Mus musculus: one gene and its partner. The protein of the gene in region 1 binds, or shares a complex with, the protein of each later gene. Links are inferred from orthologs where the notes say so. Each region holds a gene or a part of one and is shown in the gene's direction. Other genes may lie near its edges.

Evidence for each region.
Region 2: the proteins of Crb1 (region 1) and Mpp5 are in contact, whole or in part, in a crystal structure (PDB 4UU5), measured with the Homo sapiens proteins. The link is inferred for Mus musculus from reciprocal best matches to the Homo sapiens genes CRB1 and PALS1. Residues at the interface, in NP_957705.1 of Homo sapiens: Ala1401, Met1402, Glu1403, Arg1404, Leu1405, Ile1406; in NP_071919.2 of Homo sapiens: Lys261, Pro266, Leu267, Gly268, Ala269, Thr270, Val271, Arg272, Asn273, Ser281, Arg282, Val284, Val314, Asn315, Val317, Phe318, Leu321.

The regions. Positions count from the first base shown.
Region 1 is NC_000067.6:139,366,334-139,382,638, reverse strand, and holds the start of Crb1 (protein crumbs homolog 1 precursor), read left to right. Parts: upstream 1-5,562; 5' UTR 5,563-5,728; coding exon 5,729-5,798; intron 5,799-16,305. UniProt on the Homo sapiens protein: Plays a role in photoreceptor morphogenesis in the retina. May maintain cell polarization and adhesion.
Region 2 is NC_000078.6:78,813,115-78,828,630, forward strand, and holds part of Mpp5 (MAGUK p55 subfamily member 5), read left to right. Parts: intron 1-4,126; coding exon 4,127-4,204; intron 4,205-4,510; coding exon 4,511-4,657; intron 4,658-6,072; exon of another isoform or gene 6,073-6,089; coding exon 6,090-6,251; intron 6,252-7,693; coding exon 7,694-7,771; intron 7,772-11,574; coding exon 11,575-11,758; intron 11,759-12,742; coding exon 12,743-12,814; intron 12,815-13,146; coding exon 13,147-13,218; intron 13,219-15,516. UniProt on the Homo sapiens protein: Plays a role in tight junction biogenesis and in the establishment of cell polarity in epithelial cells.

The DNA.
Region 1 (16,305 bases):
CCCCACTTCCAGATTTACTCAGTTGCCTGTAGTTCTTTGTGTAGAGTGGAGACCTCATCGTTTTTCAATGTTCAGTTTGGTGTGTTTGATGATATCATCCTTGTTCAGCTCACATTGGGCAGACATGTTGGTGAGACTTTGCAGGGGTAGCTTTGATGGTACTAGGAAATATAAACTCAGTAAACTCCCTGGCCTTTGGCTCTCACAATTGTCTGCTCACTTCTGCAATATTCTCTCTGCCTTAGGTGTGGGCATGTTCTGTAGATGTATTGATTAGGACTTGGCTTTTCAATTCTGCATTTTGGTTGGTTTTGTTTTTCTGTAGTGGTCTCTATCCCTTGCCAAGGGATGTTTCCTTGATGAGGAGTGAAGACAGATATGTGTCTGTGGGTATAAGGTATAGTGCTGTTGGGGATTGTGTTGGTTTAGTGAATTAGTGGTTGTGGATTCTCCTCCAATAACCTTGATTTCACTAGCATTGAATACAACAAACCCTCTGGGAAACACGGAAAGCATTTTCATAAGAGGAATTTATAGTTCTAAATGATCACATTGAAAAAAAAAATCAGAAGGTACTCAAACAAATGGTTTAATGATAGAAGTCAAAGAGTTAGAAAAACAAGAAGAAACCAAACTTAAACTAAGTGTATGTCAAGACATAATAAAAATTGGAGCAGAAGTCAACAAATTAGAAACAAAGAAAACAAAAAAAATTAAAACATCTAAAAACTGGTTCTTTGAGAAGATAAAAAAGACAGACCTTTGGCTCAGCTGAGAGAGAGAGAGAGAGAGAGAGAGAGAGAGAGAGAGAGAGAGAGAGAGAGAACCTAAATTATCAGAATTAGAAATGACCAAGATAACATTATCACAGACACCAAAGAAATCAAGAGTATAACAGAATATTTGAAACCCTGAATTCCATCAAGCTGGAATATCTAAATGATCGATTTTCTAGAGGCAGCTAAAACACCATAATTAAACCAAGAAGTCAACACCCTAAACAGACCCATAACAAATGAGATTAAACTAATCTATATTAAACTAATATAGTAATGAAAGGCCTATAAAAAGCCTTCCAGAAAAAAAGTGTAAGACCAGAAGGAGTCATAGCAGTATTCTACCAGGCATTCAAAGGTCTACAGACAGTTCTTAAACTCGCCAAGAAGAAGAAGAGGAAGAGGAAAAGGAGGAGGAGGAGGAGGAGGAGGAGGAGGAGAAAGAGGTGGAGCATTCCCATACTCCTTCTATGAAGCTGCTATCACTCTTATATCCAAAACAAACAAAAACAAAAGAGGGCTGCACCCTACAGGCCTGTTCACAGATGCTACACCTCTTCATGATACTACACTGGCGATTAGGTTTCAACTAGGAATTTTAAGGGAAACATAAACATTCAGATCATGGTATATTCATATTCATATTTTGTAAAGAATTTCCTGGCTGGCCTCAAGACTGACAAGTTTTTCACTCATTTGTTTTATGGCTTAGTCCTTTAATTCTTATTTTTAAATACAACACGTATAAATTCCTAGAAGTATTCTTTATATATCACATTTCCAGATTAGTTTTAATACTTCTTGTCTTGAAAATGATACCTTCTAATTTTTGTAATTGTGACAGAACTGAAAAAACAACAGAGACTTTTGTTACCGTTAGATTCTGTCTGTGCTTCACACCACACATCTTCTTTCTAGATCAGTTGATTACTTTTCTGGTGATCCAGTCGTTAAAATTTAGTGCTCTCTGGTGTATTGGTTGGCTTTCTCTGTGTCCAGTTCCTTAGATTTCAGGTCTATGGACTAGGATAACAATGCAAGTCTGACATATAGACTTCACACAACGAGATTCTTAGAAAAGACCTAGAGACACAAAATGATGACAGTTCATTTAATAATAATTATTATTATTATAAAAATATTGTTATAGACATAGAAACCTAAAGCATAGAATGGTAACAGTTAATTTAATATTAATTATTATAATTATAATAATAAAGATAAATAATGTTGTAGACAGTAGAGAAACTTTAGGAAAATGGCTATTAGAAAATCAGAATGTAATTCTGCTTACCCTGCATCTTTTATTCCAACTGGAAAAATGTAGATATTAGAGCAAGAAATATATAATACTTCTGCAAAGCCAGGCACGGTGGTGCATCTCTGCAAACACCATTACTCAAGATGCTTCTGCAAAGGATCAGAAGTTCAAGCTTAGTCTGGACAACATAGGGAGACTCTCACCTCAAACCAACCACAGACAGCAAAAATACCTGTGTCACTTGAAATCATTTTGAATCAAGCTTTATAAATTAAATTATTTGTGACAAGTAGAAATGATCTCTTTAAAATATTGACTACCACGAGTGCTGTAGAAATCAGTATACATACACATATTATATATATTATATAATCTAATATGTATGTATGTATGTATGTATGTATGTATGTATATATTAGATGATCTTACTCTGTTGCCTAACCTAGTCTTGAATTCGTGGACTCTTGTGATCTGTCCTACTTCAGTCTCTGGTATTTTAAACTACAGATGTATGTCCTGACACAAAACTACAATTTTAAATGGATCAATTCTGCTCTAGCAAATAAAATAATCTGAGAGAGATCAGAGAATACCCTTGGTAAAAATTATTAAGCTTGGCATCAGGGGAACAGGAAGACATCCAGAGGTCTGTCAATCGCCATGCCATGCAGCTCAGGCAGGGAAAGAGTGCCCTCCACAGCCCTGTCTGCAGCCACTCCCTGTGGTGCAGGGGTGGGAAGACTTCCATAGGTCTGCCTGCTGCCACACCACATGGGCAGGCTGTAGACACCTAGAGGCCTGCTGCTTGTCACCACACCACATGGTGCTGACAGAGGAGGTCCTTGGGGCACCGGTGAGCCATTCCTGAGTGCAAAACCACAGGAGTACTAGCCCTCCCAGTTCATCTGCTGCGGGGTTGATAGAGCTGGCCCTGGGGTCATGAGAGTGGGTATGGTGGCCCTGCCCCTCGCTGGCTCAAACACTCAGGAGAGCAGACCCTCACCTGAGCAGCACAGTAAACCTAGCCCTGGGGGAGGGGGCGCCAGTGAGGCAGTGCTCGTAGCCTAGCTACACTCACTGGCACTCAGGAGAGCAGGCACTGCACCGCGCCTGTGCTACACAGTGGCGTTGGCCCCATCCAATCCTGTGTGAGCTACCCCTGAGGGTGTGAGGAAAAGAGCTGGCCCAGAAAGATCACGTTGCAGAATGGGCCCTATGACTCAAGTGGACATCATAGTGGAGCTAGCTCTGGAGGTGTGGGCAAGCATGAGAGCAAGAGAGGCTGACACTGCCTCCTGCTGATGGAGGCATTGAGTGGCCAGAGTAGTGCTGCAGAGCTCACCTTGGCGGTGCTGATCAGGGAAAGCCAGAGGCTGGCCGCCTCAGCTACCACCCTGGCCCAAATCCAGGGCTTTGTGCTGACCCACTCTGAAATCTACATCATCTGTAAATGGTTGAGGAGTGTGCGGGGGCGGGGGGGGGGTGCTGTCTTGCAGATCCAAAGCTGCAGGATCTCCATGACACAGGGCAGCAAGAGGATAACTGGAAGGAGTCCAAGTGAGGATCCAGTATTGATGGTTTGACAGAAGCCTGAGACCTCGAACAATGCCAATGACTCATTGCAATGAGCATTTGCAAGTGAAGACATGTGGACAGAGAGATACACTGTAGGACACACTATGACCCACTACAGCTTCCATGATAAGGTATTTTCTATCCTTTGTTTTGCTCTCTCTCTCTCTCTCTCTCTCTCCCTCTCTCTCTCTCTCTCTCTCTCTCTCTCTGTGTGTGTGTGTGTGTGTGTGTGTGTGTTTATTTTGGGGTTAAGACTACAGTTGTGGAGGGCAGATATAAGGAGATGGGGAGTTTGAGCAGTATAATGCATTTTTTAATGCCCATTTTAGTTTCTGAATAATAGACATAGACCTGGTATTTTTACTAACAAGCTGCAAACCTAAGCTGGGCAGGCTCTGAGCTATTCTAACCCTTTAAGCCATTTACCTCCCTGTCACAGGCCCCATGTTACTTGCAGTTTGAGTCTCTTCCTGGCTTGCTCTGTTCATATGAACCCTCACAGCTGCTCTCTCACGTCGATCTCATGACAAATCCTTTGGCGACCTGCTCATCATGGCTCCTCCTCGACCTTTTCTCGTGGCCACTTTTTCTCCTTTCTCATTGCCCTTCTCCTCTCTCTACCTGGGACACACACACACACACACACACACACACACACACATCAGAAGTCCCACCCTATTCTCTTCTGCCCAGTAAATTGGCTGGCCAGCTCTTTATTGACCAATCAGAAGATGATGGAGACGGGTGATGCTTCATAAAAATAATACCGAAGTCCAAGTCTGTCCTGTCCTCAACTCTCTCCCTGGTATAAAAACCAGCATTTGAATAATACAACCTTTACACAGTACACAGAAAGATCATCCCTACATTGCAGGACTAAGGTTTATGATGTGAAAAGAATCATAAAAACGTTTTAAAAAAATGAGCAATGCAATTAAAAAAAAAAACGCAGAACTGAAATGTCTCACCTTCTGCTAGTTCAGGTTCCATGCAAAAATTGTTTTGTACTACATGTTAATTGGGTTTTTATAACCCAACCAATGAGCATAATTCTCAGACCCTGTGGAATATGAAATTCTGAATGCATATTTGCCATTTTGTAATATATATTATATATACATATACATTATATATACACACATATATTATATGTACACATATACATTATATATGTATATATATATATATATATATATATATATATACAGAGAGAGAGAGAGAGGGAGAGAGAGATTATGGTCTTTCATATGTAAGCAGAAAATATAAAACCTTCAAAAATAGATGCTGCAGCATCATTAAACATCTAACTGAACTCTGAAGATTTACACAGAATCAGTTGTTTTAAGCGACAGAGCCAACACTTGTTATATAAAAAGCATAGACATGTACTAGCATAAATACCAATCAAAAAATTCAGCATTCCATTTTTAGTTAAGGGATTTCTTTTGCCCTATTAATTTGCATAAGTTAATGATGTTAAAAGGTTAATAAATCCAAGAGGATGTAACTTCATGAGCAAAGTGTAAACACTTGAAAGAAATATTACCCCCATGTCTCTATAATTCTAGCCACTGTTATATGATAGCTTATTTTTTCTTATAATTTTTCTACCCTATCAACAGCAAAAGCACTACTGAACTGTCATTGTAGGGTTTAGAAACAGAAAAAGTTACTAACCTGTAAACAGAGTTTTGAAAGAGAATGTAATTTACAAAAATATAGAGTGTTTCTTTAAAAGTAGCCACATCAGAATAATCACGTGCCAATACTGTCAGAAGAAATTAATTTCTCTATTAGGAGCAATCAAGGACCCTATCCTAAAACAAAGCCTTTCCAGGAGGCATTGTTCACGGAAGCCTGAGGGGGACACGAATCCAATCCAGGCTGGAAAAATCTGCTCCAGGATTGACTGGTTACCGTCTTCCTGTGCCTGTAAGGTGCTGTGAAAGAGAAGTGCTTTCTGATTCTCTGTCTGTGGAGGAGCCCTGGGAGGGGTGGGACAGAGATGGCATCCTGGCTCTCTGAGGCACCTGCTCTTCTCTGAACCACACAGGAGTCAAGAGCCAAACAGGGATAGCTTCAGCAGCACTTCAGAGGGTGTTCTCTAAGTAAGAACATGAAGCTCAAGAGAACTGCCTACCTTCTCTTCCTGTACCTCAGCTCCTCACTGCTCATCTGCATAAAGAGTAAGCCCTCCCCAGTTAGCAATGCCCTGCCTCTCTTCCTGGCTTAGTAGATAGATCTCTTGCATACAGTTCCAAGGAAGGATGTGTTTGTTTCTTATAGGTGTTAGTAAGTGCTCTTGTGGTTAAGATAGCGCTTCTGGTCCAGGTTTTAGGAATTACAGTAAATAGGTTCTCAGGCTGTTTTATCTGTTGACTGAAAAGCATAAAACTGAATGAAATAGCCAGGAGGAAACAGATTTTTTTCTTCATTCTTTTTTCTTTTTTGTATTTGCACACTTGTGAAATAGTTTGTGGCACTTTATAGTTGATCTTTGTTAAAGAGATGTTACTAATAAGTTATCTTGGCTCTTATTCTCATATGCTATGAATTTGTTTCCATATGTTAATAATTCTTGCATTGCAACACTTGTTCTTGTAATCAGAGGGGCGGTCTCAAGGCTTCCTAAAGGAGAATGGTTAAAACTGTACTTTTTCCCAGCACTAGAGAAATAACCATATAGTTGTGTGCTTCTGTCTGATAAACAAAGGCATCATTTTTACAAACTTCCCCAAATATAAACAGGAGTGACGACGCCTCCCACCCCCACCCCTGATAATCTTGTTATGTTTGTGGCAGTCTCAAGAATCAGGGAGAATGGCCCCAGCTGTGTGTTTATGAAGGACCATAGCTATTGTACTCATTTAAAAAGAAGACAAGGAGAGTGTGTGCCTGTCAGAGGGGCCATGTGATTTACGGCTGTTGCATCTGAATATCAATACGGACAAAATAAGGAGCAGCTGTCTTTGTGTGAGACCACTAGCACCAATACAGTGGTGGGTAATCTGGGTAGTGTTCTGTCACTGCAACAGTGCTATGAGGTTCTAACTGGTACGGTTTACAGCTGGACAAACAGCCGAGATTAGGTGAAGATACAAACAGGTCCTCTTGCTAGGCAGCTGGGACAGCCAGAAAAGCCCAATCAAACTTCAAATAAATACTAAAACGCTCATCATAAAGCACATGGAGGGAAAAAATTTTCAGAGATGTATTGGATAAAGAGTTATAATTTTAAAGTTGCTTATCCTCTTTCAAACTTATAATGGGTGGGTTCCAAGTAACATGCAGTGGGTGAGAGGTACCTTACCTTGAGATACACAGTGGGAGGATACACACAGAAGGGGGACATAAAGTGAAAAATGATGCCATTTTCTTTGTGGCAAAGAACTTTGTCACTTTGTGAAATACTCATTAAATTGTCTACAGTGTTCTTTAGAGCTCATATATGTAACTTCTCAAACATGTAACTGTGTAAAAGAGAACATGCATAGGAGCATACACTCGCTTTGTTTCATTTACTTTACCAGTAGACTCTAAACACATATTTGTAACTACTTCATTTATTCTTCAGCAAACCTTGTTTGTTTGTTTGTTTGTTTGTTTAAAGTAGTAAATTTGAAACTTCATTTTATTGAGCTTTTAAGCAGACAGGGAGCCTTTTATCTGTGTTATATTTGTTGCCAGGGAGTAACAGTGTTGCCTTTGTAGTCAGAACATTTAGTTTACACTATTTGGGGCAGTAGAGTTTCAGTCAGTGACTTGGGTCTGCTTGGATCCAAACACACTATATAGGTCAGGCTAGCCTCTTACTTGTGACCTCTAGCCTCAGCTTCCTCAGTGCTGCAATTACAGGTACGCCCCACCATGCACCCAGTAAATTACATTTAACATTAATTACCTTTTTGTGTGATACCAGAGATCAAATCTAAGCGTCCCATAAGTGCTAAGCAGGTGCTCTTCTACTAAATTCCTTCCTCGTCTCTTTCAAGTTTTTAATTTTGAACAGGGTTTTACTAAGTTCCAAAATGGCCTTAAACTCACTTTGTAGTGAAGTTGGGCCTTGAACATCTTTCTGCTGAAGGTCTGTCTCTAGAGTCTGTATTCTCAACCGATATGTACTATTCCCATGTGGTAACAGTATACAATCAGCTCAGAACACCACAAGCACATAGGAAAACTTGGTGATTAGTATCTTACTACTTGAAATCTAGTATCATATTAGTTTTTATTCACATTTTGAAATTTATTCTTTGAAATGTAAGAAAAAAGGAGCTATTACTGGCTCCAGATAAATCACTTCTGTAGAGTTGTACCTTGACTCCTTGTCAGACAGATGCTGTTCATTCTTAGCACCCTACTCTCTTCCCGTCTTAGAGTTAAGATTACACAACATGAGGAATATTAAAGCAGACCTCCACGTGGGACACCCACTTCCTGCTCCTCAGTTGGTAGGTAGGCAGCCATTTCCCTGAGCTGGGACTTCAAGAACCTGTTCACTTAATTGTTCTTATATCTGTACCAGAATCTTGCCAAGTTTATTCAGACATATAGGATCAGGTGTACTTTAATAATTCGAGTAGGGCCTTCTCATTTTGCTTCTGACATATTAAGCGAGAATCTTATTGGTGTGAGACTCTCCTGTGGCCCATTATTTTGTAGCTATATTAAATAATAGGAGCCCATTCTAATAACTGTTGCGACCTTGATACTAGCTTGCTATTTGGGGCTTTTAAGAAGCTACCATATTAAAGCAGCCTTCAATTACATAGCAATTTGTGTCTCCTTTTCATTATTCTGTTATAACTTCAGAGAAAAATGGAATCTTCTCTATGCAGCAGTCATGTCTAGATTAATGTGACTTATTTTAATTTATATTCAGAGCATGACCAGTGCATATGACAGGAATGTAATTTGAGAAAACCATTATTAGGATTATGGGCACAACATAAAAGAAGCCCAAGGAGCATACTGTGGAAGCTAGCAATCATTAAGTAACTGAATTTGAATAAAGTCCTCATAAAGAGTGTTTCCTAAAGGATAAATAGGGTCTACGAAGATAGGACATGGTCTGATTTATTCAACCTTAGCGCTATTATTAAGAAATAATTGAATTTTCTCAAAAGATCGGAGAGGCCTGATGTAATTTACTATGGAATAGCCACTTATGCTTTAAAATTCTACACTTGCAGGAAGATTTAGAATTTTGATAAGTTGGATGCTCATAAAGCAGTGTGTGTCACGGTGCTTACAATAATGCCTGTGGGAGAGGAGCTGTTGCTTCTTCATACCTAAGTAATTTTCTCCTCAATTTATAGTAAGTTTTACTTTGTACAAGCCACCCATTACTTCCCACAACAATGCAGAATTCATTTTAATTTCTCTTTTCGTACACTCATCATAAGCAGACCAGATTTTTCTTGCTTTCTTCATCGTTAGTGATTTTCAATGATGGCCATTTATGATCATATAGTTCCAAAGTTGGCTGTTGAGTGGGCAAGGCCAGCAAGGATGTTTCACTCTCTTTTCAGTTTTCTTGCTGATTCTTAGGAAGTTTCCAAGACAGTCAGTTTTGTTCTTTCAGCAAAAAGATGTCCCTTTTTTTACACCACTGCTCCATCACGCTAGATTTAGCTTTACTGTTGCTGCTTACATTGCTCTTAACTGTTTTGTTCTATGTCACATACTAAACTGCAAACTCAGTGCATTTTTTTGATGTATTTATGCTTTCCTATGAGGCTGTTGGTTGGCGGTAGGAGTCATGAGTGTTTTGTTCATGGTTATTGGACATGGAGCTAAGGTTGCTTGTTCTTTGCGTCCAGATGGGTTAGTTGCTAGATTACGAAACTTCATTAATCACTTCTTAGTCTACTGATTTACATGTTAAATAGTTAAGGTCAAGTAGTTGAGACCAAACATCTCTTTTGAAATGTATTGAATAAAAGACCCTCTATCTCTAAAGTTGTGAAATTTATATTTTCTTCACTAGGATAGACAACAAAAACTAGCTAGTAGCAGTACCCAATTAAATATTAATATTGATCCCAGCCATGGCAGCAGTGTGTTTCTTGATACTTGCCCCAATGTTCTGGGTTCCCGAATATTCTCTCTCTCTCTCTCTCTCTCTCTCTCTCTCTATATATATATATATACACACACACACACACACATATATACATATATATATATATATATAGTATATATATATACACATATATATATATATATAGTTGTGCTTTAAACAGCTCAATGGCTAGGCCATTTTCTAATCTCTATGTGGCTAATCCACCTCTCTTCAACATTCTCTAATTATTACATACTAAAATCTATATTCCATCTTTGCTGCCCTGGACCCAATTGGGCAGCCCTCTTGGTGCCACTCTTCTCTGGCTCCTACATGGTGGCTATGCTCTCTGTCCTGCACCTTCTTAGGTGTGAAATTTTCCTTTCCTTCTGGTATGATGGATCTCCTTCTTCCTTCCTCCCTAGCCTGGAAATCCCCAAATTCCCACCTCTGTCTGTCCTGCTCAGCCATTGACTGCTGGCAAGTTTATTTACCAATCAGGAACAACTAGGGGCAACGCTCAATGTCTTACATACGGACATGCAGATTCTTAAGCAAACAATTTTAGGGACCCAAATTAACATAATACAAGCAGCATTAGACCAAACCCACTACACTAACTAAATAAGGAAAATATGTACTTATGAGCTAGTGGTACATCTCAGTGGAGAAAAACAAAGAACGAGATAAAGAAGAGAACTATGGGATTTATAATGAATAACATTTTTTTCCTGTAGAATATATCTAATGCAGAAGTCCTGAGGCAGGAGCATGCCTATAGACTTTGAGAGATTGCTGCATGTTCTGTTCAATTTGAGTGGACTGATGGAAAGAGAGGATACTAGTGTAGGTACCAGTGGTGTTACTTATAGTATCTTCAAGTTTAAAAAGCCCTACATAGTAGCCATTATTAAACTCACTAGTAAACTTTACTAGTATACTAGTAAAGCAAGATAGATTAAAGGATATACTCAAAACACAGCTATAAGGTGACTCAAACGAGATTTTCAATCTTTGATCTATCTAGATCTAAGAAACATGCAAGCTCTCAAAAGCCAAAACATAAATGATCAGGACTTGTGCAGGCTGATATGTGCAGCCTGACACTGTTAGCAAGAAATCAGCTAGTATGGAGATAACTACAAATATCATCTTCGCAGGATTTGGGAGAGTTTGTTTAAAGAAAAACTGGGTCCCAGATAATCAGGTATCTATTTCATCTTTCTGCTACTCTGAGTTTAAAAAAACATTCACAAATGTAACTGACGCCTCAGCCCTGTGAGTGAAATCTGCAAAACTGGAGCTGCTGGTGTGTGGCCTCCGCTGACCTTGTTATCATCGTCTTTTTGGTTCTTCACATTGTCGTAGTAATTTCCAGATGAGTGACTCTTTTCTCTGGATTCAAAATCATCGAAATTTTTACATAACTTCATTCAGACAAATTGGAAAGAGCAGGATGCTAATGAGGCCGAGTTTATGATTGATTCTATCAGTACAGTTCACATTGCTTTGAACAGAGACCAGCTCCAGACAAGCAAATGTGTATAAACAAATTAAGCACTGCCACTTGTAAAAGCAGCTGGGGATAGTACCAGTAACCTTTTCATGCAGATAATTTGTTAATTTGATTTTACATATGGCTATACTTTCAGCTAACTCTTTCCTGTTATGATAGTTGATTTTAATTCTGTACTTTCTCCTAAAGTAATCATGAGATAATTAAAGAATTAATCTTATAAACCTAATAATTGTAGACATAAAATATTTTCTAGCCTTACTTGTTGAGGTTTGGACTGTTGCTTTATATTGTAATGCTAAATACTGGCTCTCCAAAATCTGGTTGCCCCCAGGAAGAAGATTCTCATATAAACCAAGTGATGCTATATAACCTTGCTCCTTCATGTTTAATGGTTGGTTGAGTAAAGATACCTACAGCCTATAGCTGGACAGAAAAGAGGTAGGCAGAGCTTCAGTTCCCCAGGCTGGGTGTCTGAGGCAGAGACCATGAGGAAGAAAGAGAGGCGAGTGTAAGGAGAAAGGAGAAGACACTATGGGGCAAGGGATTGTGAGAACAGGCCATGAAGGCTGGCCAGTTGGAGGAAGAGTAGCCCAGGCAGAACATGGAAAATCATATCTTGGGGTTATTAATAGGGAGATGACTCTGAAAGCATCATTGCTAAGGCCATTACAGCCGTCCTTGTGAGGCCATTACCACCATCCTTGTGAAGCCATTACAGCCATCCTGGTGATGGGTGCCAGTGAAGGCCTGGAAGTCTGAAACACCCACCAGGAAGAAGCAAGCACTCCGCATGCTCCCAGCTGGCACTGCTAATGGCAAGGATCTCTTTTTTTCTTAAATATGAATAGTTTTCACACAGCCATTATTCATGCCGTCAGAATTTGCGAGTGTCAATTTAAATGCCATATAAGCTTTCTAAACGGTGGTAGATTGAACTATTTAAAACTTTGGTTCCACTCCTCCATTGTTGGTGGGAGTGCAGGCTTGTACAACCACTCTGGAAATCAGTCTGGCGGTTCCTCAGAAAACTGGACATAGTACTACCGGAGGATCCAGCAATACCTCTCCTGGGCATATATCCAGAAGATGCCCCAACTGGTAAGAAGGACACATGCTCCACTATGTTCATAGCAGCCTTATTTATAATAGCCAGAAGCTGGAAAGAACCTAGATGCCCCTCAACAGAGGAATGGATACAGAAAATGTGGTACATCTACACAATGGAGTACTACTCAGCTATTAAAAAGAATGAATTTATGAAATTCCTAGCCAAATGGATGGACCTGGAGGGCATCATCCTGAGTGAGGTAACACATTCACAAAGAAACTCACACAATATGTACTCACTGATAAGTGGATATTAGCCCCAAACCTAGGATACCCAAGATATAAGATATAATTTGCTAAACACATGAAACTCAAGAAGAATGAAGACTGAAGTGTGGACACTATGCCCCTCCTTAGATTTGGGAACAAAACACCCATGGAAGGAGTTACAGAGACAAAGTTTGGAGCTGAGATGAAAGGATGGACCATGTAGAGACTGCCATATCCAGGGATCCACCCCATAATCAGCATCCAAACGCTGACACCATTGCATACACTAGCAAGATTTTATTGAAAGGACCCAGATGTAGCTGTCTCTTGTGAGACTATGCCGGGGCCTAGCAAACACAGAAGTGGATGCTCACAGTCAGCTAATGGATGGATCACAGGGCTCCCAATGGAGGAGCTAGAGAAAGTAGCCAAGGAGCTAAAGGGATCTGCAACCCTATAGGTGGAACAACATTATGAACTAACCAGTACCCCGGAGCTCTTGACTCTAGCTGCATATATATCAAAAGATGGCCTAGTCGGCCATCACTGGAAAGAGAGGCCCATTGGACTTGCAAACTTTATATGCCCCAGTACAGGGGAACACCAGGGCCAAAAAGGGGGAGTGGGTGGGCAGGGGAGTGGGGGTGGGTGGATATGGGGGACTTTTGGTATAGCATTGGAAATGTAAATGAGTTAAATACCTAATAAAAAATGGGAAAAAAAAAGATTTTCAAGATAAAAAAAAAAAAAACAAAAAAAAAAACTTTGGTTCCCTTGAACCCAGTTCCCTGGTATCAATAAGTATGAGGAGTCGATACCAGACTTCTGGCTTTAAGAAGGGAAGCATTTACATGAACATAATAAGCAACTGAAATCATTCAACTGACAGGAGGGATTCAGTGGAAAAGTCGTGAGTCAATTTTGTGACTAGGTTCCACCTGTAGGTAGCAATCCATTGCTCAAGTTAAAGTATTAAAGATTATGTGTCACGTATTCGTCACCAGCAGCCTGTGTTATGAGTAAACTTTCAAATTCCATGATGCTTTATACACTTAATGGAAAATTTCATATGTGACTTGCGGTAGAACTCCAAAGCTTTAGGAATAAATGGTTTTCACCACCCAGATATCGTAAAAAATTCTAATTCTCAAATCCATTTATTATTTATTCTGATGGGCAATGGTGTGTGCTAGAACTGGACTGCAGATTTTCTCAGCTAGAATTCATCTCACAGGTGGCTGCCGTTCCACAGCTGTTTTTTTTCCCATTAGCTTGTCTTTAAAATCAAGCTGAGTGCCTGTTATGTAATGTCCCTATGAAACGTTTTGTTATTAGTTATGCAAAATTAGTGGATTTATTTATGAACAATCAAAAATTTCCCTTTTAAATAAATATGTTTTTGACTGCTATGATATATACTTGTATATATCTCTCTAATTTTACCTATTACAGTCAAAACTCTTGGAACCTCTCTAGTTTGACATTTCACAGGTCACATGGTTTTAGGTAAAATCCTAGTTGCTTGCTTCAGTCTCTCTTGGAGCTCACTTTAGAATATTTGAGCTCCTACTCTCTCTCTCTCTCTTTTGTTGACTTAACTTGCTTATATGTTCTCTAATTTTTCAGCAATTTAGTGTGTTCCTTAATTTATTAGCTGAGGTTTGAAGTTTAGTGGCTACATGTTTCCTTTATAACTGATGCTTGCCTTTGAAATCATACCTCTATCTGGGGGATAGTGTTTGCTGCGCCGGTGGATCTCATTGAGTTCTCTAGTACCCATGTGAAAGTGGACATGGATGTAACCCTAAAAAGGAAAAGGCAGAGGAAGCAGGACCCTCAGGGTTTATCACCCAGCTCTTCTAGCCAATAACTCTAGGCAGAGTGAGAGAGCCTGCCTCAAAAAGCAAGGTGAAGATACCTAACTTAGTCCTCTATACTTTGTATGCACACAACATGGTACACACACAGGCACCACATCTTATACACACACATACACACAAATCACAAAACAAAATAAGCTTATTTATCTTTGTGCACTACCATATACCTGAATTATAATTTACATTTGTTTAAAAATGAAAATTTTCATTTTACACAGTTTATATTTTACATGTACTAAATATCTTATAACGATGTGTTTACATATCACTCAGCTATGCTTATAAAATATAGATATTATATATGCTTTCTTGTCATATTTACTTTTCTCACTACATAAAAATAGTATTTGCCAGTCCAGTATCTCAAGGGTTAGCCATTTAGTCTTTTGTATATTGATTACACAAATTGACCTCAATTTTTTCTTAGTGTAAAATTTTGAAATATATTTTATGTTGTGGTCATGAAAATTATCCTACAAGTATTTTTAAGTGCATTTGGCTCAGAATTAGGTTTTATACTCCTTCCTGGTATGGTGTGCCTCCTCCTGCCCCCGTCTTGTGTGTGTGTGTGTGTGTGTGTGTGTGTGTTAGAGAGAGGGGCGTCTCAGTTTGTACAGACACAACAAATGGGTGCAGAGTTCTGGTGATATTATTTCTTAGGAATCACATGTGTAAAACCCAGGTGACCATTCACTGGATCCTTGTTCTTTTATGTCTGCTAATGGAAACACTTACTTTCTTCCAAGACGCTCCCTTTAAGTCCTTCTAGCTACTCTTCATGCAGATTACTGGGCAATCTTCTAGTGAGCAAATGAATTTGCCCTCCTTCTCTCTGCTGTCAGGACACCAGGCTAATACACACGGACCTCGTGTTCATGTCAGCCCTTCTCTGTGTTACTTGCTAACCTGCTTTTCTTCACTTACATTTTCCAACGATTTTTTGTTTTATTCATGACTTTGTTTTAAGAGGATTTTATTTTTTATTGGATATTTTCTTTATTTACCTTTCAAATGTTATCCCCTTTCCCAGTTTCCCTCCCTCTCAGAAACCCCCTATCCCATCCTCCCTCCCCCTGCTTCTATGAGGGTGTTTCTCCATTCACCCACCCACTCCCACCTTCCCGCTCTTGATTCCCCTACACTGGGGCATCTATCTAACCTTCATAGGACCAAGGACCTCTCCTCCCATTGATGCCTAACAGGGCCATCCTCTGCTACATATGCAGCTGTACTCCTTGGTTGATGGCTTAGTCCCTGGGAGCTCTGGGGGATCTGGTGGGTTGATATTGTTGTTCTTCCTATGGGGTGGCAACTTGCTTCAACTCCTTCAGTCCTTTCTCTAACTCTTTGATTGGAGACCCTGTGCTCAGTGCAGTGGTTGGCTGTGAGCATCCACCTCTGTATTTGTAAGGCTCTGGCAGAACCTCTCAGGTGACAGCTGTATCAGGCTCCTGTCAGCAAGCACTTCTTGGCATCTACAATAGTGTTTGGGCTTAGGAACTGTATATGGGATGAATCCCCACGTGGGAAAGTCTCTGGATGACCTTTCCTCCAGTCTCTGCTCTATAGTTTATCTCCATATTTGCATCTGTAAGTATTTTGTTTTCCACACGTTGGTCTTCCTTCTTCTTGAGCCTCATGTGGTCTGTGAATTGTATCTTTAGAATTTGGAGCTTTTGGGCTAATATCCACTTATTAGTGAGTGCAGATAATGTGTGTTCTTTTGTGATTGGGTTACCACATTCAGGATGATGTTTTCTAGTTTGATCCATTTGCCTAAGAATGTCATGAATTCATCATTTTTAGTAACTGAGTAGTACTCCATTGTGTAAATATACTACATTTTCTGTATCTATTCCTCTGTTGAAGGGCATCTGGGTACTTTCCAGCTTCTGTCAATTATAAATAAGGCT
Region 2 (15,516 bases), on another chromosome or scaffold:
TACTTTCTAAAATTTGATGTGTGTGTGTGTGTCTGTGTGTGTGTGTGGGGGGGGGCTGTAGTAGCATGAGCACAGTGATTGAGGGGGACATATGTCATATGTGCAGAGCAGTGGTTTAGTGGTGAACCCTGTGGGCATAAATAATGCCAGGGCTGGGAAAGAAGAAAGAATCAGGTGATATTTAATGCTAAGGAGCTTAGACTTGATCCTATAGATGACTGAGAGACAGATGATGAGGATTACAGTGGTCATATTTCTGTTTTACAGTTGAAAATCACAAATCAAAAGTTATATAATACTTTCATAAACCAATTTGAACAATATGATTTCATTTTGGTAAAAGGTGTAAGAGATATTCCCCCAGGGATAAGGATGGAGTTTGGTATCTGACTTCTTTTTTTAAAAATTTATTTACTTTATGCATATGAGTACATCACCATTGCTCCCTTCAGACATACCAGAAGAGGGCATCAGACCTCATTACAGATGGTCATGAGCTACCATGTGGTTGCTGAGAATTGAACTCAAGACCTTTAGAAGAGCAGACAGTGTGCTCTTAACCGCTGAGCCATCTCTCCAGCCCCCCTGACTTCTTGCCTAGCATTTTAAGGCTCTGGATTCAGTCCCTGGCCTGATACAAAAACAAACAAAATGATGTATAATTGTCCTTCGTTATCATTGCACTTTATAGCCTCAGATTCAGCCTAGTTTGCTAAAAGAATCTAAATCTCTACTGAACAGACTTTTTCCCCTTGTTATTCCCTAAAAAATACAGTACAACTATTACACGTTAGGTATAAGTAGGAAAAATTTTAAAGTATATGGATGGAAAGGTATGTTAATTATATGCACATACTCTGCCCTTTTGTAGAAGAGACTTAAGTGACCTTAGCTTTGGGTATGAAACAAGAGTTCCTGTAACTAATTTCGGGTGATACTGAGAAAAAGTTATATACGTAGAGTGTGTCCAGCTTTATTGAGATATAGTTTGCAATTACTAAAAATGGGTGTTTTGTTATTGGCTCAATGTAAATATCTGTGTATGCACCTATGAAATCTACCATCCACTGTCAAGTTACTAAAATATCCTCCATCCACAAAGCTCACTTACAGTCCTGAAGAGAGTAACCACCTCTTCTTTAGCCCCTTTTGTCATTTGCAAACCTGGTTTCTGTTTTACTAATTTGCCATTTATGAACATGTCAAATAAATAGGCAACATCTGCTCTTTTGTGTCTGCATTAATTATTTTTCTTGTCAGTGTGGCAAAATACCTGATAAGAAGCAACTTGAATGGGGATGATTTGTTTGGGCTCACAGATTGGGGGAAGACATAGCTTATTCTGGCTGTGAAGGCATGGCATTGGGACAGCTCACTGTGGCAGAAGGAATGTAGGGCAGCAGGCTACATTGCCTTGGCAATTAGGAAACATAGAGATGCTGGAAGTTATAACCCATGGCATATGCACACACATAAGCCATCAGCAGCCCACTTCCTCCAGTTAGGCCTCACAAAACTAACAGCACCACCTGGAGGATCAGATGTTCCAACATAAGCCTATGGGGACACTTCACATTCAAACCATGGCAGCATCTGATTTCCTCTGCTCAGTCTAATCTTAAGGTTCATTTCTTCTGTGAATGTATCAAATTAAAGCAACACTTCACAAATGATGGGCATGTGACCAGTCCTCCAGGTCCCAGTCCCAGTGATGCTTTCTGAGTAGTAGACTGTGTGACAATGTGTCGTGTCATTTCTATCGTGAGACATTGGCTGTTTGCTATTACTGATCCATTTTTAATTGTTCTTACACTTGTTTATTGCATAGTGTGAGTGTGTGCATGTGAGTATGTGCATGCTGTGGTGTGAGGATGTAGGTCAGAAGAAAACTTTGAAGAGTCAGTTCCCTTCTTCAACCATGTGGATTCTGGGAAATGAACAGGGGTTGTTTTCAGGCTGTTGGCAAGTGCCTTTACCTACTGAACCATCTTGTCAGCTTTTTGGCTACTGACTCTCAGATATGTGGTGTGGTGGTGTCTTGTTTTAATTTGCCTTTCCATCATGATTGCTGACACTATTTTTGTGTGGTCATTGGCCATTTCTCTGTTTTTAATGAAATGGGTGGTCAAGTCTGTTTTCATTGGGCAGTGGGAGGAGGCAGGTCACATATAAGAACAGTCTTTAAATTCCCTTGGCTTTGTAAGTGAAGTTCTCGGACACTAGCATAGATAATGTCTATGCCTGCTGCTACAGAAATGAGTATTTATCAGAGTTCTGCTTTTTTTTTTTAAGATTTTAGAGATGCCTAGGAACTGACTTAAAAATATAAACAGAAAAAAAGTGTCTTACATAAAATATTACTGAGTTGATTGTAGCCTTTTTTATTTTTTTTACACTCCATATTTTATCCCCCCTCCCAATTGTAGCTTTTATAAAGTCTTGATTTCTTTTTTTTTTTTTTTAATAATTCAAAACTGTCCCTCTCCGAGTTGCTTTCTCCAGCAGTCAAAAAGTATTTGGTCAGGGATTATAGATTTCAAATTAACTTTGAGTAGTTTTCATGAAGTTTCAAAAGGAAAGCAGTGTCTTTAAAATCAGCTTTCACTTACCTAAAGTTTTTAGGTACCAAAACTGGAGGACAGAGTAGTTTCAGTACTATGTTTTGTTTATTAGACAGTGTTTTAATGGTTAGCCCTGTCTTATCTGGAACTCACAGAGATGCTCTTGCCTATGGAATGAGGGGATTAAAGGCACCAAGCACTGTCCTAGTAGGTTGGGTTTTTTTTATTTTATTTTATGTTTGTGTATGTTTGTGTGTACGTGCGTGTGTGTGTGTGCGCGCGTGTGTGTGTGCACATGCACATGTGCATGCATGCACTTACAGGAACCAGAAGGCATCAGCTCCACTAGATTTGGAGTTACAGGAGGTTGTAATCTGTCTGCTATGGGCTCTGGGAATCAAACTTCAATCTTTTTATAAGAACAGCAAGAGCTCTGAACTATGGACCCATCTCTTCAGACTTTATCATTGATTTGGTATGCTTGTTTTGGTCAAAATTGGTCCTCATTTTATCATCCTAAAGGTTTAATTGGAGAACTGCTAATAAAATAACCATAAAGAATATAGAATTCCTGTTTTAATCATTGGTACACTTATATTTTCATTAATTTGACAATTTTTGTTTTGTTATTTACTTTATTGCAGTGTACCATTTTGGAGTGGGGGTTTGGAGGCACAAGGGCAAAAAGAGGCATAAACAGTAAGAGTACACAGTATAATCTTTGGGAGAAAGTAGTGTGCAGAGGAACATATCTACCTCAATATTCATTGGTAGAAGATTGTGTGCAGAGGAACATGTCTACCTCAGTATTCATTGGTAGAAGATTGAAAATTGCAAATAAGTGGACTTAATTTTTTGTTCATGTAGTTAAAAGCAAGGAAACAGGAAAGAGTACTTAAATTTCTTAATGGAAAGAGTAGATAATATGACATTAATCTTTTAAAGTAGACAATACCTATAGTACATTAGTTAAGCCATCCAGCAGTGTTAGGAAAGATCACAAGTGCAGACTCAGATTGAAGTCATCTGGTCAGCCTTTGAAGGGCTTTACACAGTGGACACCAGCCTGCCCATGAGGAAAGAAAGACACAGGGGCCTGAAAAATGTATCATAACTGTGGGAGTTTATCCTGAGAACACATTGTCCAACATTACATTTATCTTGTAAATCTATAACTTTAAATTTTCATCTCAGATTTTTAATAGTATTTGAAACATAGGATTTAAATCTCTAAAGTAGCATAATAACTACTGAGTGGGGCATATATCCTGTCATGTAATTATTATAGTAGATTTTATACTGTGTTAGAAGGAAATTTCAAAAGTGAAACAGTTCATTTGTAGTTGTAAATACCATGATATTTGAAGTATGCTTTAAAAAAAAAAAAGGAATGTTCTTTTTAAAGATCTCTGGGAAAGGATTTTTTTTCTTCATGTTTCTTTAGTGTTTTTCTTTACTCTTGAGGGTTTTTTGCCATTTTATTCTCATTTAAAAATATTCTCCTGTATAGATACTACTGCTAATTCTTATGAACCAGGAAAAAAAATTTTTTTTTATTTCTTTAGGTACAAACTGTCTTAAAGCCAGTCCATCAGAAGGAAGGACAAGAACTAACTGCCTTGTTGAATGCTCCACATATTCAGGTAGAAAAAGGACAGAATGTTGTTTGTTTCCAGTATTTGTTTTTTTTAAATCATAGTCTCTTAGTCTTGGAAGAGACCTAGTCATGCAGAAAGCAGAGTAATTATTGCTGGGTTATACATTCCATATGTAAAACTATACAAAGTATGTTTTAAAATAGCTTATTTTTAAAAACTGGGCAAAAGTCCCTTACATATTTGTCATGTTTTAGGCCCTTACAGACTTGATTGTAATACTATGTGCATGAGCAAACTATACAGAAATAAATTGTGGTCTTACTTTTCATACGGTGGGTTTCTTTGAAACAGGCACTTTTACTGGCCCATGATAAGGTTGCTGAGCAGGAAATGCAGCTAGAGCCCATTACAGATGAGAGAGTTTATGAAAGTATCGGCCATTACGGGGGAGAAACTGTAAAAATAGTTCGTATAGAAAAGGCTCGGGATATTCCATTGGTAAGTGTTCTCATGTCTGATCTAAGATTGTTTTCTATGCAAAGACCTCATATGGTGTACAGTTGAAGATCCCATTATGTTCCTGGAGAGTTTTCTCTTTGTGAGTTGTTACAATTGTTACAGCAATTTGTTACAATTGTAATATGCTCTTGCTCAAAACCCTTATTAGGTTGAAAAACTAATTTCATTACCTTTTCTCATAACTTAAAATAATAACTTATGAAATACTTACTGAGAATCAAGAAGAGAAAACAAGTTAGAAAATCTGGTCTTTGGGAGCTAGATACATAGTTTAATTGAAACGTTCTTGGCACCCAAACATGAGGATCAAGAGGTTGTACCCCAGCACCTATGTGAAAAGCCAGGAATGATGACATTTCTGTAATCCCAGCTCTGTCACTGACAGGAAGACTTCTCTGGAGTTTGCAGGCTAGCCACCAGCCTAGCCAGATCAGTCAGTTCCAGGTTAAGTGACTTTGCTCCAAATATGAGATGGAAAGAGATTGAAGACTTCCAGCACACACATACGCGGTCACACACACACACACACAGAGTAATAGAGTAATAAAAATAATTTTTAAAAAGAGTGCATTAAGTACTTTATGTAACTGGTTCCATCTTGGAGAATAAAAGGAAAGGTCATGATAATATTAAAGTAAATACTTAAGAAAATTAGTTTTATAAAAAAGATTTGTTTATTCATTATGAGTATGTGTCTGAGTGTATTTATATGTGCCACATGCATGCAGGTGCCTGCAGAGGATGAAAGGGAGTTGGATCCCCTGGCTTGAGTTACAGGGGTTTGTAAGCTGTCCAGTGTGGGTGCTAGGAACAAAAATCTGTGTCCCTTGTAGGAACTGCTGTAACCACTGAGCCCCACAAAATAGGTTTTATCTTATTTTACTGTTCTAGCTTTTGAGTATACACTTTCCCACTGTTCTTTCAATTTGTATAATAAATATTAGTATTTAATACATTTGGCTATAGCTGTGTTTAACATTTGTATAGTTAGCCATATAGCTATTTATCCCTTAATTATATTTTGAATTTTAAGAAATTCTTTATAGTTAAGCACTGTGTTAATTATGCCTAGATGTTTTCTAGGTGTTGGAATAGAATGCAGCAGAAAAAAAGTTGATTTTATGTCTTTAAACACAGTGTATTTTTTTTCTGCTTTTATATGCTTCAGAAGTCTGTACTTCAGAATTCTAATGAATACAGTATCTCTGAGACAGAAATGTTGGGTGGGGAATACTTAGCTTTCGTGTTACAATTACAGTTGTTACTTTAGCAATGTGAGGAAATCTTTTTTTCTTAAGATAAGCTAAACTAAGGACTAGTCTTACTAGATTTAAAAGAATAAAATTTAAAAATGAAATGCTTAACAAAAAATTGCATTTTTATGTTTAAATTAGATATTGGGTGTTTTTAGGGTGCCACAGTTCGTAATGAAATGGATTCTGTCATCATAAGCCGGATAGTGAAAGGAGGCGCCGCAGAGAAGAGTGGCCTCCTGCACGAAGGAGACGAAGTTCTGGAGATCAACGGCATTGAAATCCGGGGCAAGGATGTCAATGAGGTTTTTGACTTGTTGGTACGTTCAGACTGTAGAAGATTTGATTCATTTAAAAGCTTGTTTTGTTATTAAACTTAGATCATTAGAGAACATTTTTTAAAATAACTAATGAGTATAAGGTAGTTTTTAGCCTAACTTTTACAGAATTTGTCAATTTTTGTTATTATATATTTAGTTTTAGGTTTATTTTTATTTACTTTGAGTTTTATTATAACTTTTATTTTTACTTTTACTATTTTTTTAAAGATTTGTTTCTATGTATTTCTGTACACCTTGTACATTCCTGGTGAATTAAATTAAAACTCAGTTTCTTATTCACACTAGCTATAGTTGAACAAGATTGATTATGTAGTTAATGGCTGTTGTCTGAGATAGCCACTACACATCTCTGTTGAGTAAATTATCCTGGACAGTGCTGGTATACTTTGGTACTCACTTTTAATTACCTTCTTAAAAATAATTTTCTAAGATTTACTTACTTTATGCCTTATGAGTGTTTTACCTGCATGAATATGTTCCACATACATGACTGGTATCTGAGAAAGTCGGGAAAAGACATTGGATTCCTTAAAGCTGGAGCTACATATGGTTGTGAGCCAAAATATGGGTGCTGGGAATCAAACCGAGATCCTCTGCAAGGGCCACAAGTGCTCTTAACTGATGAACAGTCTTTTGTTGTTTTTTGATTGTTTGTTTTGAGGTCTCATTATGAAGTCCTAGCTAGCCAGGAACTCACTATGTAGACTAGGCTGGTCTGAAATTCAGAGATATACCTGTCCATGTCTCCTAAGTGCTGGAATTAAAAGCATGTGCCACCATGCTTAGCCTCATTGTCTTGAAAATGATGTTTAATCATATTGTATACAACACAACATATGATTTTTCTTTTTCCTTTTTGAAGGCAAGGTCTGAAATAAAACACATTATATAGCCCAGACTGACCTTTTTGGTGATTCTCCTCCCATGGCACCAGCCAGTACTCCCCTCTACAAACCCATGTGCATATTCTTAATCATTCAACATGAGGTGATACAGTAGTATGTCTCCTACCTGCTGATATCTATTGTAAAAGCTAGAAAATATCCATGTCCCTCTTTCCACCAAATCTCTGCTCATACATAGCTCTGTAGAGCAAAGTGCCATTGATGGTCACTCATGGTCCATTTGATTGGTACTGGCTTGCACTGTGCACTGTTTGTATTTTGTATAAACATTATGAAGAATGCTGTCTAGTCTGGATATGTCTGAATACAGCTAGTGCTGTACTGGGCAGGAATTATGAATCTAGCTGCACAACTCAATACAGTAAACAGTGGACAGGAAGACTAAATAATGAAAGTAGCTAGGGATGGGAAATGTTTTCGTATAGGACTGAGGGAATTCTGCCATCATCCTGTTTAAAGTGTGTTAATCATAAGATCATGGGAGATTTTTAAAGTATTTTAACCTTTCTGTTACAGTCTGATATGCATGGTACTTTGACATTTGTTCTGATTCCTAGTCAACAGATCAAGCCCCCTCCTGCCAAAGAAACTGTAGTAAGTAATTTTAAAATTACTTATTTTAAAATTGTTTATTCTTCTTTGACTTATGTCTAATTTTCTGTATCAGAAACTTCACTGAATATAGTTTGTTCAAGTAAAAACAGAAATCACGTAATTGTATTTAAATAAGTATAAAAATCAACTTTTAAAATGTAGTAAACTCTGAACTTTTTAAAAGTAAAATATACAACATAGTTCAACTTCAGACTAACAGTGTTGTTTGTCTTCAGGTATAATTAAGTTTTGCTCAGTCACATAGAGAAGGGTACTTTAACAAATGTGTGTAAGTCATTACTCTGGTGTATTTCTATCTACTAAGTATTTAACACAGCTCTATTAAATGATAGATTTGATTACTGTACAACCTAGCAATTCCTGGTAATAGAACAATCGTACATGAATATTCAGGCATGTATTATTTATAAGACCCAAAATATAAAAACAACTTAAAAATAGCAACAGCCACCAGCAATAACTTGAAAATACAACATAGTTTATCTGTCTGTACACTGAAATCTTACTTGATTGAAAAGGGCTGAGGTGTGAGTATATGCTACAAAATAGATAAGCTTGAAAAATTTATGGCAATCACAAGCCCTTTACTGGTTTATTTACATACAGTATCCAAAATAGGTAAGCCCATAGAAACAGAAAAATTTCAGTGGCTCCTTAGATGGAGATTTGGGAAAGAATGGAAATAGCTCCTTATCAGTATTTGGTCCAGAAGGTTGAAAATATTCTAACAATATCAATGGTAAGCCTCTGTCTCTGCATATACTAAAACCATAAATGGTGTAGCATATTAACTACATCATAAGCAATTAAAAATGAGGTTTTAAGTTCCTAAATTGACATAGAAGCCTGATCTTTATATATTTGTTATTTTTTATCATTATTTTTGTTTAGTTATCATATCAAATCATGGTTTTATCATAACATTTTCATACATGTATCATACATTTTCATACATGTATAGCATTCTGCTTTGCTCATAGTCACCACAGGTGTGTTGTTTTATTTAGCTCTTTCTGTTTTCTGTTTTGTTTTGTTTTTTTCCAGAACATACTGCGGTCGGTGTTGCGTGTGCAACCTTTTTTATGTTTAGAATTCTTTGTAGGAAGAAACATGAGGAAACAGACTTGGCCTCTGAATTTAGTCATTTCTCTGTACTTGCTATGCCTTTCCATGTGTCTGTCCTGTAAATAAGGCTCAAGTGTGAAAAGAGGCTCTGCACACTGAAGAGGGTTAGAACATGCTGTCTTCTAAATGCTCCTGATAACCCATCCTTCCTCAGTAAATGATTTTTGTCTTTTGAGAATGAGTGTCAGAGGTTGAGGTATATTTTATCAGCTTTTCTTTTCTGCTGTTCATGCAGTTATAATAAAAGTTATTTCTTTTACAGTTACACATTTATTTTTTTAAGGTGTGCATATGCAGTACAGCATCTACATGGTCATCAGGGAGTCAGTTCTCTCCTTCCACCTTGTGGGTCTCAGAAATCAAAATTGGGTCGTCAGGTTTGGCAGCAAGCCCTGTACCCACTGAGGTATCTTGGTGGCCTGTTAAAGTTACTTTAATAGATAAAACTAGCATGCTATATTGATACTGCTGCTTCTCAGTTAATGTGGTATGTTGTCACTTGTTTTCAGCAAATGCAAAATCAGAGTCCTGAAATCATCCATTCATCACAGCTGTTGGTTAGCTTTGGATTTTGGGGACAGGGTAGTATTGACCATCCTGGAACCCGCTCTGTAGACCTCAGTCTCACAAGTGTTGCCATTAAAGGTGTGCATATCCATGCCTGACACTTGTTTGGGTTTTTTTATAAACGTAAGAGTGAAACAACTGTGTAGGACTGTGGCTCATAACTAATCCCAGCACTTGAGAAGCTGAGATGGACAGTCACTGAGTTAGAGGGCAGCCTGGGTTAGTAGGGCGGAAAAACTAAAAAGAAGTAGCCTGTCCTGTGGAGGCCGTTGGGCTTCTACCTTAAGTTACTACGAAATAAAAGGCTCAGCTGTGTGTAATACATTTCAGGTGTGTCTATGTGTGCTTGCCCTATAAACATAGTATGTCCTCTGCTACATGAAACAATCCTCCATGTTGCCAGCCATTTAAATTAGGAGAGCTGGAAAATGAACTGGGTAGGCCAGAGTAACTTGAAAAGCATCTTTGAGCGATTTTCTTGCCTTTGGAAGAGATCATAGAGCTATGTTCATCCCTCACTTGTTTTTTGAGTTCCCTTGGTGTAATAGAGGACAGTAGATCACAAGACCTTTCTATCTAACACCCAACTAACTGTCTGTCAGTGCAGAGGCCACAAGTCTGAGGTGGTGGTAAGGGTTCAGCCTTTTTTTTCAGTCTCTAGCCTCTAAACCTTTATTTTCTGTACATTTTCATTCTTTTTTTCTTATTGGATATTTTCTTTATTTCAGTCTTTTGGTGGTGGTACATACCTCTAATCCCAGCATTTGGGAAGGGAAGCAGGCAGATCTTTGAAATCTGGAGCCAGCCTGGTCTACATAGGATGTTCCAGGACAGCCAGGGCTACAAAGTGAAACCCTGTCTCAAAAACAAGAATAAGAATTCAGCCTTTTAAGAAGTATCTGTAGCGGGCACTCCAGCAATATACTTTGCATAACATTGTTGGGTATTGCTTTCAGACAATGAGTTAATAAAATCAGCCTGACAAATCACCCAGTTAGGTAGACCTACAAAGCCTGTTAAAGTAATTTCCACTACTTGTAGTAAGGCCTAAATTTTTACTTTTTTGGTTCCCAGGGTTTGGGGACACACACATACAAAAAGGTAACAATTTAAATAGATTTTGGAAGTAATTTTCACCCAGTTTCTAAAGCAGTTCTAGCTCATACTGTTTCTCTTATACTGAGTTGATAATTTGTATGTGTGTTCTTTTTAAGCACCATTCCAACTATGTTTTGATTCCCTGCTATCCCACACTACTTTTTAAAATTCATTTTGGTACTGAGTATTCAAGATTTTAATCTAAAGTCTATTTTCACATCAAGAATAGAAGGTTCCATAAGTAGATAAATAGTTATCTTAGTTAGGTAAATAGAACCCTACTTTCAAATAGAACAATATCTTTACCATATTTGTAAACACCACCCAAAGAACCAGAATGAGACTAGCATCTAAAATTCCCACCTATGCCCCCTTTAGCCTCTGTCCACCTTGTAGTCGACCCCACACCCAACATAAACATTTTCCTCATTTCTAGAAACACCCAATTCCTTCATATTTTTCCTATAAATATATTGCATAGTTTTGGATCAAGTAAGGTAAGAATTTTTCCCCAGTGATCATCCTGATTTAGATCATTTCTCAGTGTGGAACATGCTATTTACATGCATTTTTAAAAGAAACACTAAGCAATTAAGGCACAACTACACTGGTCATGAAATCAACTGGCTATGACAGCCCCAGGGAAGCTGACACTTGCTTACATGGGACCTGGTGACACCTCACTTAGGATCATTGTTTTCACAGGTCAGACCGCTTCTATTCTGGTTACTTTGCCTTTGAGGCAACTTTGTACCTCAATTTGTTAGCTGTTAACAATCACCCAGTTTGAACTACTTCTACTTCTTTATAGTCTACAGAGATGTCAATAGATAAGTTTTAAAAAATCCTACCCTAACATGCTGTTGCTTAACTAAATGTCCTTTCAGCTCATTTCTCTGCACTGATGTAACACATAAGTTACATTTGTGCTGGATATTTTGCTTTACCATTTTATTATTCTTGCTCTTATTTGTACCCCCTTTATGTTTCAGATCCATGTGAAAGCTCATTTTGACTATGACCCCTCAGATGACCCTTATGTTCCATGTCGAGAGTTAGGGCTGTCTTTTCAAAAAGGAGATATACTTCATGTGATCAGTCAAGAAGATCCAAATTGGTGGCAGGCCTATAGAGAGGGAGACGAAGATAATCAGCCTCTAGCTGGACTTGTTCCAGGTAAGAGACAAGATTGAAAGCATTTAAAGGACTGAGGGCCCAGCCCAGTGGTAGAACATGCACTTAACTGCAGAGGCCTGGAATCAAAATCTGTTGCATCTCCTCCCCTAGATTATTTTAAGATAGAGAACTGAGAAGATGAAGGTTGATCATGTTAAAAACCTTTTATGTTAAAATCGTAATGCATTAGGGACTAGAGAGATGGCTCAGTGGTTAAGAGCACTCGCTGTTCTCCCAGAGGATCCAGGTTCAATTCCCAGTACCCACATGGCAGCGAACAAACGAACAAAGCAAACCAGAACAAAAAAAATCTTAATACTTTGAGGAAAAATGTGTTGTCTGTTTATTTGTGTCATTGGTAACAAAGGTAGAAATGAAATAAATCATTATGATACATTTATGAATAATAAATACAAATAAGTATTTTGAATGGTGTGTTGAAATCAGAACATGATGAATGCCTGTGTACTTCTTGAAAGTTAATGTCTAGAATTGATGTGTTTGAGTTGAGATAGTCTCAGTGACGAGAACCATTATATGTCCCAGCGTGGAACTACAAAGTACCATATAGTAATGCTCATTGAAAAAGTTTTTAAGGGTGAACTATTAAATTTTCTGATATTAGTTTATTGTTCACCTTTTTGTAATAAGTGATAAATAATACATATGATTAGATTGATAAGCAGGGTCAAAACAAACCTTTTCAGTCTTAGACTAGAAAGATGACTCACTGATTGAGACTTGATATTCCTTTCTGAAAGAACCCAAGTTTGATTCTCAGTATCCATGTTGCACTCAGCCCACACAGACATACACATAATTAAAAATAAACCTTCTCTTTAAAGGGGGCATTTGTAGGCTATGTGTCTTAGCCTGGATTATTCTTGTGTTGGCAAAAGGGTTTGGAAGGCAGTGTGAAATTACTAGTGTTTTCTCTTTGATTAAAAATGTTTATCCTTCTGTTTGTTCTTTTTGTGTTATTAGGCAAAAGCTTTCAGCAGCAAAGGGAAGCCATGAAGCAAACTATAGAAGAAGATAAGGAGCCAGAGAAATCAGGTTAGACACTTATATTTGCTATTGCACTTACATTTGGTATTAGTAAAAGCAAGAGTCTTTGGGTTTTCATCTGGAACCATGTTGAATTTACACATTGGAACTGTCAAGAAAGAAAGGTATAGGCCTTGAAGGAGTAATAGAAGAGGCTAAATTCATTATCTTTAGATGTAAGAAAAGATGAAAATATTACACATCTATCTACAATATAATTAATAGAAAATGATAAATTGAAAAAATAGTTGTCAACAGTATAATAAATCTTTAATCAATTTGAAATACCATTGTTTTAGTAATAGATATAGTGTTTATAACTATTTTTGATTGATCAATAGGAAAACTGTGGTGTGCAAAGAAGAATAAAAAGAAGAGGAAAAAGGTTTTATATAATGCCAATAAAAATGATGGTAAGTTCTAATCTCACAAATAGCAGTTGTATTTATGACATTTGTAATATTGTTTCCTGTAAAGTTTTTTTCTATTCAAGTTGTTTGCAAAATTATTACTTGCCTCTAACAATTTTTTTTTATTAATCATTTTATTTGTTTACATTTCAAATGTTATCCCTCTTCCCAGTCTCCCTTCCACAACCTTACCCCACTTCACCTCCCTCCCCTTTGCCTCTAAGAGGGCGCTCCCATTCCAGCCTCATCCCCTTCTCTGGGGCATCAAGCCAAGTGCCTCCCCGCCCACTGATGCCTGATGAGGCAGTCCTCTGCTACATATGTAGCAGGAGCCATGGACCAGTCCATGTATCCTCTTTGGTGGGTAGTTTAGTCCCTGGGAGCTCTGAGGGGCCTGGGTAGTTGATACTGTTGTTCTTCTTATGTGGTTGCCATCCCCTTCAGCTCCTTCAGCCCTTCCCCTATACTCTTTCATTGGGGTCCCTGGGCTCAGTCCATTGGGTGGCTGTATCTGCATCAGTCTTAGTTGCTGGCAGAGCCGCTTAGAGGACAGCCATACCAGGCTCCTGTCTGCAAGCACATCTTGGTATCAGCAGTAGTGTCAGGATTTGGTGTCTGCAAATGGAATGGATTGTACATTGGGCCGTCTCTGGATGGCCTTTTCTTCAGCCTCTGCTCCATTTTTGTTCCTGCATTTCCTTTAGACAGGGACAATTCTGGGTTAAATTTTTAATGGGTAGGTGGCCCCATCCAACTACTGGAGGTTCCTTCAGGTTCTGTCTCCCTGCTGTTGGGTATTTCAGCTAACAATTTTTACACACACACAAATGTGTTTGAGGTAAAATGAATAATTTGTAAATATAGTATCTTAAGTCAGAGAAGCAGGTCATTCTACAAAACATATTATTTACTGGCTGAGACAGGCACACAGGAATATTTATTTTATATTGACAGATTGCTAAGATTAAAAAGTTTTAAAGTCTTAACATCTCTGGGCTTATGTTCTTGGGACAGCAGTGTGCTGCACCTGGCTGACAGCTGTTGCCCTGATTGATTCACTTACAATCTAGTTGGGTATCAGCACCACTTACCGCTTTTTAAATTCAGTCATATTTTCTGGGTGCATTACCTTCTTGATTGATCTTCATTGCATTTGAATTTCTTAGCTCTGCTTTGGTACACATTAGAAAGGTCAGGTTAAAGTCAGAAGTACTACTGTTTAAAAGTCTGCAAGGCATATTTCTTAGGAATGTGAAGCATTTATGTGTAAAAATTAGTCCTGGTTCTTCCTCATGCTCCCAGAAATAAAACTCAGACTCAAAATATATTTACCAATATCTTGGCCATATAACTAGGCTCTTCTTTGACTAGGTCATGATTTAAAATAACCCATTTATTCTAATCTCCATTCTGCCACATGGCTAGTTACCTGTGCTTAGGTAGCACATATCTGTCTTGTCACATCTTCCTGAGTGAATCTCCTATACCTGGCACTTTCCCAGAATTCTCTCTGCCTCCTGGATGTCCTGACCTTCCTGCCTAAGCCACAGGCTTTTTAAGTAACAGGTGATGCATTCATAAAATAGACAAGATATTCTCTCTGCATTTATATGCAGCATAAATTAAACTAATAAAGAAAATTTTATTACTAGATATTCTTTTTGTTTGTTTTTTAAGATGGGGTTTTTCTATGTAGCTCCATATGTATACTAGATATTCTATACACTATTGAATCTAAATTGAATCAGCTTTAATAATTGCTTTCTAAGGCAAGCATTCTTTATGCCTGGCATGTTATGTAACTAAGAAGATCAGTTAGTTTTTTTTTTGTTTTTTTTTTTTTTTCTTTTTTTTTTTTTTTTATTAGGTATTTAGCTCATTTACATTTCCAATGCTATACCAAAAGTCCCCCTTACCCACCCACCCCCACTCCCCTACCCACCCACTCCCCCCCTTTGGCCCTGGCGTTCCCCTGTACCGGGGCACACAAAGTCTGCGTGTCCAATGGGCCTCTCTTTCCAGTGATGGCCGACTAGGCCATCTTTTGATACATATGCAGCTAGAGTCAAGAGCTCAGGGGTACTGGTTAGTTCATAATGTTGTTCCACCTATAGGGTTGAAGATCCCTTTAGCTCCTTGGGTACAAGATCAGTTAGTTTTTAATCTTACTAGCTAAAGCTGTGATTAATATCGTTATTTGCTAGTACAATGCAGAACTAAGTCTGGAGATGAGCCCTGTTTTCCTTGTTTTCTTTCTGTCTCCACTCCCAATCTCTCTGTGTGCTGAGAAATGAATCCAGG